Bombyx mori: one gene and its partner. The protein of the gene in region 2 binds, or shares a complex with, the protein of the main gene of each other region. Links are inferred from orthologs where the notes say so. Each region holds a gene or a part of one and is shown on either strand. Other genes may lie near its edges.

Region 1 (4,275 bases), on a different chromosome or scaffold from region 2:
GTATTTTAGAGCTATGTGGTTCTTAAAAGACGAAGTGATTGTTATTACTAACTTAATAAATAAAATTTGAAAGGAAAACAAACCTCTATAGTCAACGCCGCTGTTTAATTTAACGACAACTGGGCGACCGTGAATCTGCTGTATAAACGAGGACAAAGCTTCCTTACGACTCATTTTTTGTGTTTATTTATTATTCTGATGAAATTGAAGACACGAAATACATTAAATGAAACTTAAAAATTTTCAAATTGGTCAAAGCGGGTGTTTTGATTACTTTTGATCTTTTTTTAAAGGTTTTTATGACTTGGTATCTAATACCTTTAGGTCGTCTTATTTTAATTTTAATGAATTTTTTAAAATGAAAAATTGTATTAATATTATGAAATGAAATGAAGTTGATTACTATGAAACATGGCATGAAATGAAATGTAATGAATTGAAATGAGATGTTATGAGATGAAAAATAATCTCAGTAAAATGGTGGTCATTTACTGAGACTTTTTCAGTGGACTTTTTGGAGGATGCCGAGAAGTTTGACATTCTATTTTCAAATCCAGTTATTTGTTTGTTGATTAGTGTTTTGTTTTCACTACATTTGTAATATAATGTATCTTACATCAATATGTACACGATAGAAAAGAGTGAATATGGAGAGTTCCGTCGCCGTGGCAATGCCGCAAAACGGCTCATATTATGTTTGGTATTTAAGAAATAATGTGTATGTACGGAAAGAACACTACAAAAGAACGCACGATTGGCCTGTACGGTTCAGCACAGAAGTTTTGATTTAAAACATTTTGCAGCTTTCAACGTTAGGATCAGAAGAATATTAGTTCATTTGGGTCAAGTTGGTGGGCAAAACTTGATATGTGGCACCCCCACACGAACTGAACGATCGTCACCCCATTAGGGTATCTTGAAGCATATTGTCATCTACGATGAATTATGTTGTTTATAATCATAAGCGGTCACATCAAGCTGGTCATTTGCGATGAAAAATGGATTATTGTTTATAATCATAAGCGGTCATCAAGCGGGTTGCAAACACACCCTGATTCAGAACTAGAGGCGACTTTACCTATGGTGCGAGGTGTGTGTGAGTTGCAGATGCGCGCTGCGGTTTTAGGGTGCACCGGCCTCTGCATTCTTAATGAATCAGTTAGATTTGTTCCTTTTTTTTTTTTTTTTTTTCGGGCCGGGGGCCGAACCTCCTACGAGGTCCCCGCGCCTAGGGGGCGCGCGGGGTATGTGAGACTCAGCGATCTGCAGGTGTTGAGAGCAGATCGCGGGCCCAAGGATTTTAGGGCCCACCCACCAAACGACTCCCCTGCACTCTTACACCCGACGTCCGATCTCCGTCCGGGGTCAGAACCCGTTCAGTGTAGGGGGGTTCCCGCGGTCAACACTACAACCAGACACGCGGCGCCACCCCGAGGACGCCCGACCGACGGGTCGTCGAGGCGATAGTCGACGACCAACGACGTCGGTCTCCGCGGTACGGCGGCCCTACCAGGCCGCCCGGGTGGTGCCGCTGGTGTTCCGGGATACCCCGCTGGGCCAGAACCAGCCTGCCGGGTCGGAACGCGATACACCGCCGACCGGGTTGCTCTTCAACAGTATGTTCGGCGACGACAGCGACGACGAAAATGCGGACCGCATCGCAGTCCGCAGCCGCCGACGCGCCGTCCCGTCCTCCTGGTGCAGTTAGATTTGTTCCTAGTCCAACTTGATTGCACGCTTACTAGAGGGCGCTAGAATAATTATTGCACTCGGACATTACATGGACTAGAGGTTCAGTACAAAGGCAATGCCTCAAATGAAAATCTATCTCTAAATATGTCATGTTCACTGTTTAGTGGCTTTGTTCTGGTATAATTCATCACAGCTTCCTACCAAATAGCATCATTACTACAGATGTGTATGGTGAGGAACAGGATACAATGATGAAGAAGCTTTTGTATCTCCAGCCTGCCCTTCTTAATCGCTTGTCCACACTTCTCCTATATGACAACGCTCAACCTCATATGGTACAATCGACCGTCTTTAAGCTACAAGAGGTATGGATGGAAGTTTTTGCATCCACCATACACACAAGTTGTTGCGCCAACAGACTTACTATTATCCTTTTTCCAAAGTTTGAACAACTTCTTGGTAGGGTAAAAATGCAATACCCAAGAGGTTAACTGAAAATAATTGGGCTTCCATACGCTCCACTTCTTCAAGGGCATTGAAAGATAGGCAAAAAAATATCAGTGATCTAGGGAAACAGCATAGTTACTACTTACTACTATGAATACTTATACCAAATTTTCTGGAGGAAAAAAAATGTTGGTTGGTTTGAATGATTAAAGTGAATGATGTGTGTTATTGAATGATTGATAACTGTCCACTTCGATAAAGCGGCACGACACGAGAACCCTCTCATCGTGGCCGCTGGTAACTACATTCCCGATCCTGCGGACAGAATGGAAAGCAGTCGACGTCGCCCAAAACACGTCATCTCGGATCCTCCTGATCCACTAACGGTGCTTTTAGGTACTTAAAGCACCGGTCACCGTTCTCGTCGAACCCGTCGCTTGCGACGAAGGGCTCGACGAGTAAATTAACTCTCAGACACAGCCCACTGAGTTTCTCGCCGGATCTTCTCAGTGGGTCGCGTTTCCGATCCGGTGGTAGATTCTGCGAAGCACGGCTCTTGCTAGGGTTCGTGTTAGCAACATCGTCAGGTTTGAGCCCCGTGAGCTCACCTACTAAAGTTAGGGTTACGCTGACAGCCGCTAGGGCTATCAGCTTAGGTAGGGAAAAAAAAAAAAAAAATTATAACTGTGAATGATATCGAAATTCAAATTGTGCTCTAAATTTAAATAAATGTTAACTACGGGGTATATGGGGTAATAAAACTAAACATAAACAGTATTTTTTTGTAACAAAATGTTCACTTTGCTTAAATATAAAAGTCTACGTTCTCTCTTTAGCTTCCATCGAAGTCCATACAAAACCAGTATAATTATTCAGTTCATTATCAGTCAGTGGGTATGGACTGTTGCTCGCTTTGTAGTAATCAGATGGAGCATGCATCACAAATTCCATGTATTCCAGTTTCCGAGGCAGCTCTTCTTCAGGGCCTGAAAATTTACAGCAATATTAACCTTAACTGTCACATTTTTTATATACACTATTCTTTTTTTTGCTATATGGCAGTTGAGTTTTCGTGATGCTATTGTTGCCAGTATTGAGTTAGTAAAAATCATATTTACAAAATAAAAATAAAAAATTAAGCTGAATTTAATTAAGTTGGTTTATTTCATTATATTCATTATATTGGGATGAAATTACATGATATAGATTGAAACAAGACGAGAGGAAGTGAAATCAAACAATGCAGGCTTTTTAGAAATGCCGTGTCAAGCGACTTATTTCGTTTTCTGCTATTCACGAGCTTTGATCGAATACACATTTAATGAGTCACTATTATTACAAGTGGAAAATCTAAAGCACTAAATTTACAAAATGAAAAAAATCACCCAAAATGCCTTAGATATTGAATAAATACTTTAATCACCTACTTCTGCCTGTTGCAAATATCTGTATTTCTAATTAAAATATTATTAAAAGCTCATACCAATGATATATGTAGCAGGATCAAAACATTTCTCTGGAGGTGGGCTCGCTTTTGTAGGTAATAACCAAGTAACAGCTGCACTCTTCTCACAGTACTCATCAGTTAGGAAGCCTCTAATTTGGGCATAGTATGTGCCACCATCAATGTCAGTCATCGAAACAATATCACCAACTTGCATGTACATACCCTGAAAAAATTACCACAGACTATTCAAAGCAGAACCGAGGTAATTTTTCAAGTTTTCATGTTTACTGTGAATAATAAGTTAGGGTTTTTTAAATTAAATTAATCTCTAATCAGTTTTTAAACTATAATTAGTATGCGATATAGCCTCAAGATTATTGAAAAATAAAAAAAAAGGTATATTTCTACAGCTGTTGTATATCTAACTACAGATTTTAATTGGATTAAATAATTGAACAGACCTGATAAAATACTGAATCACTTGTAACAACAGTCGCTGTAGCTGTTGGTGCTTTCAATGGCTGCCTTTTGAATAGACTCCTGCGTCCTCTGCCCCGCGGCGCCGGCTGCTTCAATGGCGGTGGAGCAGGTGTTTTAGGTTTGTATCTCGTTGATCTAGTGCTTTTCCTAGTGCCCTTGCCGGTAGCTTTAGCCGGCGTAGACTCCTCATTTTTACCATTATCTTTGTC
Region 2 (3,942 bases):
CTTTTGTAGTTGAGCTCGCGGGGCTCAAACCTGATGACGTTGCTAACACGAACCCTAGCAAGACCCGTGCTTCGCAGAATCTACCACCGGATCGGAAACGCGACCCACTGAGAAGATCCGGCGAGAAACTCAGTGGGCTGTGTCTGAGAGTTAATTTACTCGTCGAGCCCTTCGTCGCAAGCGACGGGTTCGACGAGAACGGTGACCGGTACTTGAAGTACCTAGAAGCACCGTTAGTGGATCGGGAGGATCCGAGATGACGTGTTTTGGGCGACGTCGACTGCTTTCCATTCTGTCCGCAGGATCGGGAATGTAGTTACCGGCGGCCACGATGAGAGGGTTCTCGTGTCGTGCCGCTTTATCGAAGTGGCGCATCGACGCCGACTGTAGATACTTACTGATGGACTCTAAGTCCAGGTCGTCATGGAGGTCGACGTTCCTGACGAACCACGGGGCTCCGACGGCTATCCTGCAAAAACGGGATTGAATAATGTGGAACGATTTTAAGTGAGTGCGGGCCGCGTGAGCGAACACTACACTTGCATAGGTCATGACGGGGCGTATGCAAATTTTGTAGAGTGTCACCTTATTTCTAAGGGACATTTTACTTCGCCTACATATCATCGGGTAGAGACGTCCTAGAATGAAGGCGGCACGGTCGCGTACCGTCTTGATGTGAGGGCGGAATGTCATCCTACTGTCGAGGGTGACGCCTAAATATTTGACCTTCGGGGCCCACGGTATGGGCTGGTCGAACATCGTGATTGGGCGAATGGCGGGGGCGGAGGTGTTGACGCGCCTAGTCGGGAGGGGGATGCTCAGCGTGGTGTTCGGAGGGCGACCCCTTTTGAAGAGCACCGCTGTGCTTTTCGTGGGGTTGATGTCGATTCTAGTGACGACTGCCGGCGCAGCGGCTGCGCAGTGTCTGCGCCAGCCGAACCTACGTCTCGGGGGGAGGTGGGAACTATTGTTGTCACCTCAGCGGTACAATCGATAAAATAACTGCTTTGAACATAAATACTTTTGTTTTAAGGTTTTTTTTATTTTCTTTTTTTATTTTGCAGACGATTTCAGTTGTAACATTACGTTACAACACCCGCACGCTAAGCGGAACCCTAAAGTGTCGAACAACGCCGTGCGACCGACGCCGCGACGCCTCGCAGGATTCGTAAAAATACGGAGGGTCGATAAAGAAAAATTGAATAACGCGCACGCGCCGCGCCGGTCGCTGCACAAAATTATTAATTTTATTTAATTTAAATCCTATAACCTATATCCTATACCTATATAATTTAATTTAAATACCTTGTTGTACCTATAAGAGTTGTAACGATAAAATATATGATTAACATTAAAGCCTCAAATAAATAAACTTCACCTCATTTCATCCATATCATTATTAACTTCATATTAAATTGATATAAATAACAGAATAATTCCATGAAAGATTACGCTGTATGGACTGATACCTCCGCCTTTCTTGTTGGAAAATGGAACTGCTACTGTCATACGTCATACTGTGGTCTGTGATTTTTTTTAAGGTATTTTATGACCTGGTAAAAGTCAGTGTTTGTAAATTTACTCATAGAATAGTCATATCTTAATACCTACATATTATTAAATAATTATAAATTTAAAGTTCTCTATTTCACAGAACATTCTTTTTGTTATGAAGTAACAAAAAAGACAACGCCTGCTCTAAACTTTTTGAACACACTTCTATAGAAAACGTGAACAGTGACGAGAAACAAAATGTGAGAATAAAATAACTTTGGAATGTCTTAGATGTGAAAGGCAAATTTCAGTGAGCAAAATAATATCAATATTTGTTCAGTGGTCCTACAACACGATTATATTTTGCTCATAGCAATAGCAATTTCCAGAAAAAAGAATACAGGAATAATCGTTTGTTTGAAATAATACGTAAAGTAGTTTATTTGCAAAATGAGTTATATGCTAGGACATCTACACAATGGTTGGCAAGTAGATCAGGCCATTCTATCAGAAGAAGACCGTGTAGTGGTGAGTTTTAACTAGATTCATAGAATGTAGAAATCTGAGATTTAGTATCTGAAGACTAAAAATAATAATTATATTCTAACCTTACATCAATAGGTATTTGTTAAAGTATATAAATGCAGTAGAAACCAAGACCTTCAACCTTCTAGTATAAAAAACAATAGATTTTGAATTAAAGGAACTAACAAAATGCTTTGAGCCAAAACAGTTAATAGTTATTTAATTAGTGGCCTAATTGTCTTGCCCTATGATTCAACTATATTAAATGTAATTAATTCTAATTTACATATCTAGGTTATAAGGTTTGGACACGACTGGGACCCAACATGTATGAAAATGGATGAAGTATTATACAGCATTGCGGAAAAAGTAAAAAATTTTGCTGTCATATATTTAGTTGACATTACAGAAGTTCCAGATTTTAATAAAATGTAAGTATACCGTAAAACTACTTGTTCTAAATTTATTTCTGAAATTAAGATTTTGATAGGTTTTCTTAAAACCTTTGTGGAATACACAAGTCCTCCTACCTCCAGTGTTTTAAGGAAATTATGTTGTATTATTAAATTTGTTGTTTTATTAATTATTAAAAAAGTATCATAAGTGAAGAAGCAAAGAACTATGAGTTTTCTAGGAATTCTTAATAAGTCTGGTTCATACAGTAAATGAATTTCATTATCTACATTGTTAATAATTTTTTTCAAATTGTTGATTTTAAGACTAGAGTAGAACAGCAGTTCTTGATCACTGGAATGTTGCAAGTCAAGTGTGTTGTGAAAATTAGAAATACGATATTTCAATTTTTATTTAAGGTGATCTGGGAAATTGCATCTCAGGGATACATGTTGGTTAAATATACAATTGTTTATTAAATATTAACCATACAACAGTATTACATATGAGTGATGTAAATACCAACAACCATCACTCCCAACTATAAATCTTTGCATTTAAGGGTGTCATGTATATATAGAGTATGTTAATACATCATTAAGTAAAAAAGGTTGAAAGTTCTAGTCTAGTAGAAAGGGTCTAGTATATAAAATGACTAAGCAAGGCCTATAATAATATTATTTAAACTTATTTCTAGGTATGAATTATACGATCCATGCACAGTGATGTTCTTCTTCCGCAACAAACACATAATGATTGACTTGGGGACTGGCAACAACAATAAAATCAACTGGCCTCTCGAAGACAAGCAGGAGATGATTGATATTATTGAAACTGTGTACAGAGGGGCAAGAAAAGGACGAGGTCTTGTTGTCTCACCGAAAGATTACTCTACCAAATACAGATATTAGTTTAATTTAAAATAATGTTCCACCTGAATGGTCTAGTAATTTGTAATCATATCTGACATCATAGTCATCATAAATTTAGTAATGTAACTTTTTTTATATAAAAATAAGAACTATACATATTACATTATAACTCATGTGTTTTTGGAATTATGCTGTTCTTCCTGATATTAAACAAAGTAAAAGTAGAATAAATGACAAGTTTTATGCTGATGTAGATCCTTTTTTTTGTGTTGCAATATCTTCATCATTGAAAAAAAAAAAAACCATTATCAAAAATACTTTATTTTTATTTTTTATTGCTTAGATGTGTGGACGAGCTCACAGCCCACCTGGTGTTAAGTGGTTACTGGAGGTCATAGACATCTACGACGTAAATGCGCCACACACCTTGAGATATAGTTCTAAGGTCTCAGTATAGTCACAACGCCTGCCCCACCCTTCAAACCGAAACGCATTACTGCTTCACGGCAGAAATAGGCGGGGCGGTAGTACCTACCCGTGCGGACTCACAAGAGGTCCTACCACCAGTAAAATACCAGTAAAAGACCGATAAACGGTCGTGCCAAGGCCAAGAGGGACGAGAAGCCCTAAACACGTCATTTCGGATCCTCCCAATTCA

What was found. The genes of interacting proteins can lie anywhere in the genome.
Region 1: thioredoxin-like protein 4A (region 2) and U6 snRNA-associated Sm-like protein LSm6 share a complex: the UniProt entries of both Homo sapiens proteins name them as parts of the precatalytic spliceosome. The link is inferred for Bombyx mori from reciprocal best matches to the Homo sapiens genes TXNL4A and LSM6.

What each region holds. Positions count from the first base shown.
Region 1 is NC_085134.1:2,613,343-2,617,617, reverse strand, and holds the start of U6 snRNA-associated Sm-like protein LSm6, read right to left. Parts: upstream 2,813-4,275; 5' UTR 175-2,812; coding exon 84-174; intron 1-83. Other genes in the region: GATA zinc finger domain-containing protein 1, read right to left, coding at 2,959-3,125, 3,623-3,809, 4,048-4,275. UniProt on the Homo sapiens protein: Plays a role in pre-mRNA splicing as component of the U4/U6-U5 tri-snRNP complex that is involved in spliceosome assembly, and as component of the precatalytic spliceosome (spliceosome B complex).
Region 2 is NC_085120.1:13,294,248-13,298,189, reverse strand, and holds thioredoxin-like protein 4A, read left to right. Parts: upstream 1-1,134; 5' UTR 1,135-1,944; coding exon 1,945-2,022; intron 2,023-2,313; coding exon 2,314-2,450; intron 2,451-3,109; coding exon 3,110-3,323; 3' UTR 3,324-3,533; downstream 3,534-3,942. UniProt on the Homo sapiens protein: Plays a role in pre-mRNA splicing as component of the U5 snRNP and U4/U6-U5 tri-snRNP complexes that are involved in spliceosome assembly, and as component of the precatalytic spliceosome (spliceosome B complex).